2 linked regions of the Macaca mulatta genome follow. The protein of the gene in region 1 interacts with the protein of each later gene in a pairwise test. Links are inferred from orthologs where the notes say so. Each region holds a gene or a part of one and is shown in the gene's direction. Other genes may lie near its edges.

Evidence for each region. The genes of interacting proteins can lie anywhere in the genome.
Region 2: the proteins of GOLGA1 (region 1) and PDCL2 interact in a two-hybrid assay, tested with the Homo sapiens proteins (2 studies listed by BioGRID). The two-hybrid records come from large-scale screens. The link is inferred for Macaca mulatta from reciprocal best matches to the Homo sapiens genes GOLGA1 and PDCL2.

The regions. Positions count from the first base shown.
Region 1 is NC_133420.1:22,847,732-22,853,423, forward strand, and holds part of GOLGA1 (golgin subfamily A member 1), read left to right. Parts: intron 1-917; coding exon 918-1,087; intron 1,088-1,568; coding exon 1,569-1,680; intron 1,681-5,422; exon of another isoform or gene 5,423-5,692. UniProt on the Homo sapiens protein: Involved in vesicular trafficking at the Golgi apparatus level. Involved in endosome-to-Golgi trafficking. Mechanistically, captures transport vesicles arriving from endosomes via the protein TBC1D23.
Region 2 is NC_133410.1:77,911,855-77,917,546, forward strand, and holds part of PDCL2 (phosducin-like protein 2), read left to right. Parts: intron 1-2,590; coding exon 2,591-2,711; intron 2,712-4,260; coding exon 4,261-4,351; intron 4,352-5,692. UniProt on the Homo sapiens protein: Essential for male fertility, spermiogenesis and acrosome formation.

The DNA.
Region 1 (5,692 bases):
GGTCCACTTTTTTTTTTTTTTTTAAATAGATGGAGTCTCACGGTGTTGCCCAGGCTGGAGTATAATAGCTACTCACAGGTGTGATCATAGCACACTGCAGCCTTAAACTCGTGGGCTCAAGCTCTCCTCCCACTTTAGCCTCCCAAATAACTGGGACTGTAAGCTTTTACTATAGGTGTGTGCCACCACGCCTGACAAGTTTAGATTTTTTTTTCTTTTTTCTTTTTTTTTTTTTGTGTGTGTGTGTGTGTGTGTGTGTGTCACCTAGGCTGGAGTGCAGTGGCATGATGGTGGCTCACTGCCGCCTTGACCTCCAGGGCTCAAGGGATTCTTCCACCTAAGCCTCCCGAGTAGCTGGAACTACAGGCACACTACCATTCCCGGCTAATTTTTGTATTTTTTGTAGAGATGATGTTTCACCATGTTACCCAGGCTGGTCTCAAACTCCTGGGCTCAAACGATATGCATGCCTCAGCATCCCAATATGGTGGGATTACAGGCATGAGCCACTGTACCCAGCCCAGATTTGTTTTTAAGTGTATTTTTCTTTTTTAATTTTTTTTTTGTTTTTGAGACAGAGCCTGGCTCTGTCACCCAGGCTGGAGTGCAGTGGCATGATCTTGGCTAATTGCAACCTCCACCTCTGAGGTTCAAGTGATTCTCCCGCCTCAGCCTCCCAAGTAGCTGGGATTACAGGCACCCGCCACCATGCCCGGCTAATTTTTGTGTTTTTAGTAGAGACAGGGTTTTGCCATGTTAGCCATGGCGAACAGTTAGCTGGTCTCAAACTCCTGACCTCAAGTGATCCACCCGCCTCGGCCTCCCAGAGTGTTGGGATTACAGGCGTGAGCCACCTGCCCGGTCTTAAATGTATTTTTCTTAGCATAGCCCAATGAAACTTTGTATTTTTGTGTCAGCTTTTAAAAAAAGAAGAAAGTCTAGGGAAAATGGAGCAAGAATTGGAGGCACGAACCAGAGAACTTAGTCGTACCCAGGAGGAGTTGATGAACTCCAACCAGATGTCATCAGACTTAAGCCAGAAGCTAGAAGAATTGCAGAGACACTACTCAACGCTGGAAGAGCAGAGGTTCTTGCTTGGTCTGTGGGGCCCTTGGGAAGAGGTGTTAGTGTAGTTCTGGCTATAGCCTGCTCACCTTTCCCCGTTGTTCATTACACCATTTTCTGATTCCAGTGCTGGCAAAGGCTTCTGGACACATACTTACCTGCCTAGGACTTAGGCCCCACCCTACCTCCAACCCACTTTCCCCTTCAGCTGCTGAAACTCAGGACAGTTCCAGCCCTGCTGAGCAATTCAATGTGGTTTTAGTTTGTAAGGTATTATAGACTAAGGAGAGGCAGGTCAGGATTTCTTTCTTAAACTAGGATGGACTTTTTCTCCTTGGGCTCCTGCTTCAGAGAGAGCTGAGGCTTTTCCCATTGAAAACTGCATGTGGCTAATGATGCTTGTAGCCCTGACATAGAAAGAACCATTTGTATTTTTCCTACAGAAGACTGTATATTAGATGAGATATCCAAATTTGTTCATTGTCTGCTTTCTTTTGATGAAGAGATCATGTGATAGCTTCAAAAACAGGTGCAGAAAGTAAGATCACAACCCTGGAACAAAAGGAACAAGAGCTCCAAGCACTCATTCAGCAGCTTTCCATTGATTTGCAAAAGGTAAGTAGAGTATGAGGAGAAGACCTGGATTTCTAAGATTCATAAAAACTAGTTCTTTCAGATATTTCTGCCTAAGAGTGACTACTGAACATATATTTCTCATGCAGTCCACATGGCTCCATTTCTTATTCTAGCCAGGCTGCACTCAGATGGAAATGGCCATACAATTGCTTAGCAGAAGTAGTCAGTATTTTCCCATCAGGAATTCTTATACCATTTGGTCAACTCAAATATGTCTCTTTTTTTTTCTTTTTTTTTAAGACGGAGTCTTGCTCTTACTGCTCAGGGATTACAGGCGCCCGTCACTACACCTGGCTAATTTTTGTATTTTTAGTAAAGACGGGGTTTTACCATGTTGGCCAGGCTGGTCTCAAACTCCTAACCTCGTGATCCACCCACCTCGGCCTCCCAAAGTGCTGAGATTACAGGCATGAGCCACTGTACCTGGCCTGACTCAAATATATCTTTAAGCACATAATGAACCTTGAGCATGAAAAATATAACAATAGTGGCTGACATGACCAGGGCTGTACCTTTGACATACTTGGCTGTAATCCAGTTTGTTCTATGGCACATAATCAAATGATGTCATTACAATTTGTTTTTTCATTTCATTGACATACATTTGTTTTCTTTCTACACTAGGGCTGTGCTAAACTCTGAGAATATAAAGATGAAGAATAATATTACTGAATATAAAGTAGTGTTTCTTAGGCCCAGCACTGTGACTCAAGCCTGTAGTCCTAGCACTTTGGTAGATCAAGGCAGGAGGATCACATGAGGTCCTCCTCTTGACCCCATCTCTACCAAAAAAAAAAAAAATTAGCCAGTGTGGTATGTGCACCTGTAGTTCCAGCCATTTGGGATCATGAGGTGGGAGGATCGCTTAAGCCCAGGAATTCAAGGCTGCAGTGGGCTAGGAACATATCACAGCACTCCAGCCCAGGCAACAGAGCAAGACTGTCTTTAAATATAAAAATAAGGCTGGGTGTGGTGGCGTGTGCCTGTAATTCCAGCTACTTGGGAGGCTGAGCAGGAGTTTGAGTTAAACCTGGGAGGTGGAAGTTGCAAGTCAGCTGAGATTGCACCACTGCGTTGCAGCCTGTCTAGGTGACAGAGAGAGACTCTGTCTCAAAAAAATAATAATAAATAAATAGAAATAAAATAAAGTAGTATTTCCCAATGGCATATTTCTTATTGGCATTTTGAGTAGAACAACTTGTATTGTATGATCGTCCATTGCATTGCAGGACATTTAGCATTCCTGGCCTCTGGGTTCTGAATGCCAATAGCATCCTTTAGTCACTGACATCCAGCCCTTCCCCTCACATCACAGAACCACCCCCCTGTTGGGCAGTGCCATCCACCCTACCCTCATCTTTTGAGAAATGCTGATCTCAAGTGAGACAGAGCCTTACAGCATAATTACAGTACAGTAAGATTTTGTCAATAGAGGTCTGTATACCCCTTCTAGCTAAGTATTATCATACTTACAGATATCTAAGTGGAAACTAAGAGAGGTTATTGACCTTGTTCACAATTATACAGTAAGTGACAGAGTTGGATTCTAACCCAAGTCTTATTCCAAAACTCATGCTTATTCTATTGCACTTTGCTGCCTCACAATAAGGAGCACCCAGTAAATATATATATGAATGAATGACTGTGATACAAGCTTTCTACCCTCAACGAACTAAAAATCTCAGTACAGATGTTGTTTTCCTTCAGAGGCTTACAGTTTCATTATAGAACTCAAACCTATTGTAATCACAAGAAAAGAAATGCTCAAACAAGAAGTCTCATGTAAATGAACTAGATTTTTCTTTTCCTTTTTTTTTGAGACACGGTCTTGCTCTTTCACCCAGGCTGGAGTGCAGTGGCATGAACGTCTCACTGTAGCCTCAGCCTCCCAGGCTGAAGTGATCCTTCCACCTCAGCCTCCCAAGTAGCTGGGACTACAGACACACACCACTACAACAGGCTAATTTTTATTATTATTATTATTTGTAGAGATGGGGTTTTGCTACGTTGCCCAGGCTAGTCTCAAACTCCTGGGCTCAAGCAGTCCACCCGCCTCAGCCTCCCAAAGTGCTGGGATTACAGAGGGGAACCACCACACTCAACCCTAGATTTTTCAAATACAAAATATATGCCATAGGGGAAGTACATTCCAGCCCAGGAGTCAAGGAAATCTTCCTAGAGGAACTGGAATGTCAAGGATCAGGAGGACAACAGGAGGCAGAAAAGGCAGAAGGTTAGAGAGTACATTTGGGGTCGTGGAAGAAGGGGGACAACAGACACACAACTTTGGTTTTTGTATTTTGTTTTTTTCTGAGACAGGGTTTCACTTTGTCACCCAGGCTGGAGTGCAGTGGCGTGATGTTGGCTCACTGCAACCTCCACCTCCTGGGCTCAAGCAATCCTCCCGTCTCAGCCTCCTGAATAGTAGGGACTACAGGCACATGTAACCATGCCCAGCTAATTTTTGTATTTTTATTAGAGACAGGATTTTACCATGTTGGCCAGGCTGGACTTGAACTCCTGGCCTCAAGTGATCTGCCCACCTTGGCCCTCAAAGTGCTGGGATTATAGGCACCTGGCCACAACTTTGATATTCAAGGGACCCTTTGATGTCAATTAGAACCATCTGTTGTTTTTATAATTGGAAAAATGGGGCTCAGGGAAGTCCAGAGTGTGGTCACAGTAAGTTTCTTCATTCATGCTAGAAAGATTAGTTAAGCCTTACTATGTGCTGGGCTCTGTGCTGGGTGTTCATAATATTGTGGTGAGCAAAATAGATACAGTTCTTGCCTTTGTAATGCTTATAGTCTAGAAGGGAAGTCAGACATTAATCAGTAATCACATATATAATTACTAACTGTGATGAGTGTTCCGAAAGAAAACTACGAGATGTTGTGAGATCCTATTAAAAGATATCAGATCAGATCCAGTCTTGGAGCTGTAGAACACTTAAGGAAGTAACACTTGATGCAGTGCTCAGGCTGGAGAGAAAGGGATAATGAGAGAGAATTTCAGGCAGGGAACAGCATGAACAAAAACTCTGAGGCAAATAAAAGTATTAGCACATTCAAGGAACTAGAAGAAAGCCAGTGACATACAGAATAAGAGAGAATAACAGATTACTCTGGCCATTAGGAGACTGAGAGGGTCTTCCACTTAGGAAGCTTTTGCAGTTGTTCGACCATAAGATGATGGAGGCTTTGACAAGTGTGGTGGTGAAGATAATAGTGGGTAGACAAATGTAAGAAATATTGACAGACTTACTAATATAACAGATATGGGAGGAGAGGAAGACAAAATTCTGTATTTTTATGGGTGATTTATTGGCTTCTGGCTTGGGCAACAGATGGGCCGGTATTGTGTGAAGATTGTTAATTTGGAATTCACTTTTTTCTTGTCTTTACTGAGTATATATAAAATCATATTTATAAAATATGAGTACGATAGAAAGTATAACAAGGCAATGAGCCCTCTGAGCTATCCCTCAGGTTAAGAAAAAGAACAATGTGTTTATCTTTGAGGTTCCCTCTGTGCCCTTCACTATTCCATCCCATTCCTTTTTCCTTTGGAAGTAAGTACTATCCAGAGATTGCTTCATTGTCTGCTTTGCTTTCTAATGTTGTCAGTTTTATCCCTAAACAATATCTTCTTTAGTTTTCCATGCTTATTAATGTTGTATAAATGAAGTCATTCTGGCTTTTTTTGCTGCGTCTACTGTGAGAATGAAGACCATTCTCAGCAATCAGACTGTCGACATTCCAGAAACTGTTGACATTACTCTGAAGGGACGCACAGTTATCGTGAAGGGCCCCAGAGGAACCCTGCGGAGGGACTTCAATCACATCAATGTAGAACTCAGTCTTCTTGGAAAGAAAAAAAAGAGGCTTTGGGTTGACAAATGGTGGGGTAACAGAAAGGAACTGGCTACCATTCGGACTCTTTGTAGTCATGTACAGAACATGATCAAGGGTGTTACACTGGGCTTCCGTTA
Region 2 (5,692 bases), on another chromosome or scaffold:
GACATTACAAGAAAAGAAAATTACAAGCCATTATCTCTGAAGAACACAGATGTAAAAATCCCCAACAAAATACTAGCAAACTGAAGTCAACAGCACATTAAAAGAATAATGTACCACAATTAAGTGGAATTTATCCTGTTGATGCAAGGATGTTTCAGCATATGCAAATCTACATATGTGACACACCACATTAAAAGAATTATGGACAAAAATCATATGATAATCTTGTTAGATGCAGAAAAAGCATTCAACCAAATTTAATATCCTTTCATGATAAAAACTTGCAACAAATTAGGTATAGAAGGAATATACCTCAACACAATAAAGGCATATATGACAAGCCTACCGATGATATTATATTCAATGGTAAGGTTGAAAGCTTTATTTCTTAGACAAGGGTGCCCATTCTCACTACTTCTATTCAATATAGTACCAGAGGTCTTTGCCAGAGCAATTAAGCAAGAGAAATAAATAAAGGCATCCAAACAGGAAAGGAAATAGTGAAATTGTTGCTGTTTGCTTATGATGTAATCTTGTATATATAAAACCCTAAAGTCCCCACCAAAATACTGTTAGGACTAATAAATGGATACAGTAAAGTTGCAAGATACCAAATCAATATAAAAACTAGTAGCATTTCTGGCCAGGCATGGTGGCTCATACCTATAATCCCAGCACTTTGGGAGGCTGAGGTGGGTGACTCACTTGAAGCCAGGAGTTTAAGACCAGCCTGGCCGACATGGTGAAACCTCATCTCTACTAAAAATACAAAATTAGCCGGGTGAGGTGGTAGGCACCTGTAGTTCCAGCTACTGGGGAGGCTGAGACAGGAGAATTGCTTGAACCCAGGAGGCAGAGGTTGCCGTGAGCTGAGTTTGCACCACTCCACTCCAGCCTGGGCAATAGAGCGAGACTCCATCTCAAAAAACAAAACACAAAGCTAAACAAAACAAAAACAACAAAAAACTAGTAGCATTTCTGTATACTAACAATGAACTATCAGAGAAATAAATTGAGGAAATAATCCCATTTATAATATTTACAAAAAAGTAAATACTTAGGATTTAAATACTCCTTAAAGAAGGATGTGAAAAATCTGTAGACTGAAAATGATAAAATATTGATGAAAGAGATTGAAGAAGACTCAAATAAATAGGAAGATATTCCATGTTCATGGATTGGAAAAATTATTGTTAAAGTGTTCATATTACCCAAAGCAATCTGCAGATTCCATATAATCCTTATCCAAGATTCCAATTTGCCCTTTTGTACGGAAGTAGAAAAAGCAGTTCTAAAATCCATATGGCACCACAAGAAACTCTGAATAGCTAAGACAATCTTGAGCATAAAGAAGAAAACTAGAGGCATCACATTACCTGACTTCAAACTATATTGCAAAGCCATTGTAATCAAAACAGCATGGTACTGGCATAAAATAGACATTGACCAATGGAGAACTCAAAAATGAACTCATACATTTACAGTCAATTGATTTTTGGCAAAGGGGACAAGAACACACAATGGGGGAAGGGACAGTCTCTTCAATAATTGGTTTTGGGAAAGAAGATATTCACATACAGAAGAATGAAATTGGACCCTTATCCCACTCCATCTATAAAAATCAACTAAAAATTGATTAAAGACCTAAATATAAGACCTGAAATTGTGAAAATATTATACAAGAAGAAAACACAGGGGAAAAACTACACACTACTGGTCTAAGCAGTGAATTTTTGGATTTAATCCCCCAAGCTCAGGCAACAAAGCAAAAATAGACAAGATTATATCGAACTAAAAAACTTCTGCACAGCAAAGGAAACAGTTAGCAAAGTGAAGAGACAATCTATATATTGGGAAAAAATATTTGCAAGCAATACACTTGACATGGCATTACTACTTAAAATATATATGGAACTCAAATAACAGTAGTAAGAAAACAACCCAATTTTAAAATTAGCAAAGATAATCCCAGCAGTTTGGAAGACTGAGGAGGGAGGATCACTTGAGGCCAGGAGTTCAAGACTAGCTGAAGCAACATAGGGAAACCCTGTAAAAATACAAAAATTAGCTAGGCTTGGTGGAGCAAGACTGCTACTCAGGAGGCCGAGGCATGAGAATTACTTGAACCCAGGAGGTGGAGGTTGCAAGTGAGCCAAGATCATGCCACTGCATTCCAGCTTGGGTGACAGAGCAAGACTCTGTCTCAGAAAAAAAAAAAAAAAAAAGGAAGTTCATCTGATGGTCTCGAATGCTTACGTAGAAAAGGAAACCAAACTGTATTTGTGTATGATGTGAATTGGTTTTGCCCAATGCAGTCTTCAGCAAATTTTCCATGACTTAGGAGATACTTCCTTAATATTCTATATATGTATTCTAAATTGATACTTTATTAAAGTTTTCAATGGAGCACATAATCCCATTAGTGCTGGAAAGTAGGAGAAAGTAGGTCACTTTGCTTTATTCTCCAAAACCAATTAACTGTAGAGCTCATGAACAATTGAACACTTAAGTGCTACATGTCAATGAATTTTCCAAATACATATTAAAGTGTACAACCATGTTAATTTTCTTTTCTTTCCTTTTTGTGTAGGATCCCAATGAAGATACAGAATGGAATGACATTTTAAGAGATTTTGGCATTCTTCCTCCTAAAGAAGAGTCAAAAGATGAAATTGAAGAAATGGTTTTAGGTTTACAGAAAGAAGCAATGGGTATGGTTGTAGATTTGGTGGGCTGGATGATGGGAATAATACAGTTAAGTTAGTAGTAAGGTACTTCATGAACATAGTGGGAGAGAGGACATTAGAAATCATTTAATATAGGCTGGGCGCGGTGGCTGACGCCTGTAATCCCAGCACTTCAGGAGGCGGAGGCGGGCGGATCACGAGGTCAGGAGATCGAGACCATCCTGGCTAACACGGTGAAACTCAGTCCCTACTAAAAATACAAAAACAAAATTAGCAGGGTATGGTGGCGAGCGCCTGTAGTCCTAGCTACTCGGGAGGCTGAGGCAGGAGAATGGCGTGAACCCAGGAGCCAGAGCTTGCAATGAGCCAAGATTGCGCCACTGCACTCCAGCCTGGGTGACAGAGCAAGACTCTGTCTCAAAAAAACAAAACAAAACAAAAACATTTAATATAAACCCCAACTACTTTCAGTATTTATATTCTTTCAGTATTTGTATACACCTAAAATGACTAATTTCACATTTCGAAAATCGCATACTAGTTAATAACAGAGCTGAAATAGCCTGTTGCATAAACTAGGGAGCTTTCTTCTCCCACCCTGTCCCTCTATCTTATTACCATCTATTTTTATCATTCTTTATAGTATGTATAGTATGTCTTCTTTATCAAGATTTCCAGGTACTTGAGGGAAATCTGAATTTATGAAATCTAATTGATTTTCATACCTAGTTTTTTTTGTTTTTTTGAGGTGGGGGACGGAGTCTCACTCTGTCACCTAGGCTGGATGGAGTGCAGTGGCCGGATCTCGGCTCACTGCAAGCTCCGCCTCCCAGGTTTATGCCATTTTCCTGCCTCAGCCTCCCGAGTAGCTGGGACTACAGGCGCCCGCCACCTTGCCTGGCTAGTTTTTTTGTATTTTTCAGTAGAGATGGGGTTTCATCGTGTTAGCCAGGATGGTCTCGATCTCCTGACCTCGTGATCCGCCCGTCTCGGCCTCCCAAAGTGCTGGGATTACAGGTTTGAGCCACCGCGCCCAGCCCATACCTAGTTTTAAATGTAGCCTGTCAGTTCTATGAACTTTGACGGAGTAATACTTTAATGTTATACTTTCTATAATATGTATACCTTTTTTTGGTGGCTGGCTGCTTTATGTTTGTTTGAAGATACTCTTTTTTGTTTGTTTGTTTTTTTGAGACCAAGTCTCGCTTTGTTGCCCAGGGTGGAATGCAGTGGTGCGATCTCAGCTCACTACAACCTCAGTCATTTGAGTTCAAGTGATTCTCCTGCCTCAGCCTCCCGAGTAGCTAGGATTACAGGTGTTGCCACCACACCTGACTAATTTTTGTATTTTTAGTAGAGAGAGGGTTTCACCATGTTGGCCAGGTTGGTCTCAAACTTCTGACCTCAAGTGATCTGCCCACCTTGACCTACCAAAGTGCTGGGATTCCATCACACCCGGCTGTTTAAAGATACTGTTGATCTCCTTTGTCTAAGACAGTTTTTTTCTAGACATTGATTGTATAGTAAAAAAATTTTTAAACAATTTGATAATCTATAATTTATGTTGTTTTAGTGAAACCATTTGAAAAGATGACTCTTGCACAGCTGAAGGAAGCTGAAGATGAATTTGATGAAGAAGATATGCAAGCTATTGAAACATACAGGTACAGTGATTCATTTGGGTTAATTATACATTTTTGAATGAAGTATTATAAGAATAAAACTAAAAAGATTTGTCTTGTCAGATAGGTTTTACAAAGAACAAAACTAATTTTTAAGTAACATTTTGAAACTCCCTTTATGTAAGGTGGAATTTTATTACATCATTACTTTATTTTTTCTTAATATTTTGCCTTTGATTGAATAGAAAATTATCCAATAATGTACAATATAACTTCATCAAGCTATGTATGATTAAAGTGGAATATAGCAATAAGAGGCCAATAAAAAGATGGCCATGATTTTCCTTCTAGCATGATGCCTGTCAAAGGCAACTATCATTTCGTGAGTAATTAATTACTACTCTTAAACAAATTATTTTAGAAATTGGAACAGGGTCATACATTTCCCAACTTACTTCACAACTAAAATAAGCTGGGAAATGTATGAACCTGTTCTAAGTTCTAAAATAATTTTTACAAGACCAGTATTATCCTGATACTAAAACCAGAGAGAGATATCACTAAAACAGAGTACTACAAATATCCTTCATGACTGTAAACACAAAATCTTTAAGGAAATATTAGCAAATTAAGTCCAGCAATTTAAGGAAATAATAAATCTTGATTAAGTGGTATTGGTTGCAGGAATGCAAGGTCATTTTAACAATAAAAAAAAAAAAAAAACAGTGAATTGGGACTGGACACAGTGGCTCATGCCTGTAATCTCTGACTTTGGGAGGTTATGGTGGGAAGATTGCTTGAGGCTAAGAGTTACAGACCAGCCTGGGCAACATAGTAAGACCCTGTCTCTACAAAACAAAAATAAAAACCAAAACCCACCAGTGAATGGAGTTAGAACAGCAATACTCGGGAGCAATGAGCAGATATAGCAATCAGATCTTTCTCAGGCAGGGTGCAGTGGCTCACGCCTGTAATCCAGGCACTTTGGGAGGCCGAGGTGGGTGGATCACCTGAGGTCAGGAGTTTCAAACCAGTCTGGCCAACATGATGAAACCCGTGTCTACTAAAAATACAGAATTAGCCAGGCATTGTGACACATGCCTGTAATCCCAGCTACTTGAGAAGCTGAGGCAGGAGAATCACTTGAACCTGGGAGGTGGAGGTAGCAGTGAGCCGAGATCGTGCCATTGCACTCCATCCAGCCTGGGCAACAAGAGCGAAACTCCATCTCAAACAAACAAACAAACAAAAACAAATAAGTACTATTCTCTAATAACAGGAATCAGTGCTCCTTAGTGAACTGCTTGATCCTTCGGTGTGTGTTAGGAAAGTATAATATGAATATGAAGCATCTTATGTTGCCAGTAGGTAAGGAAGTACTTT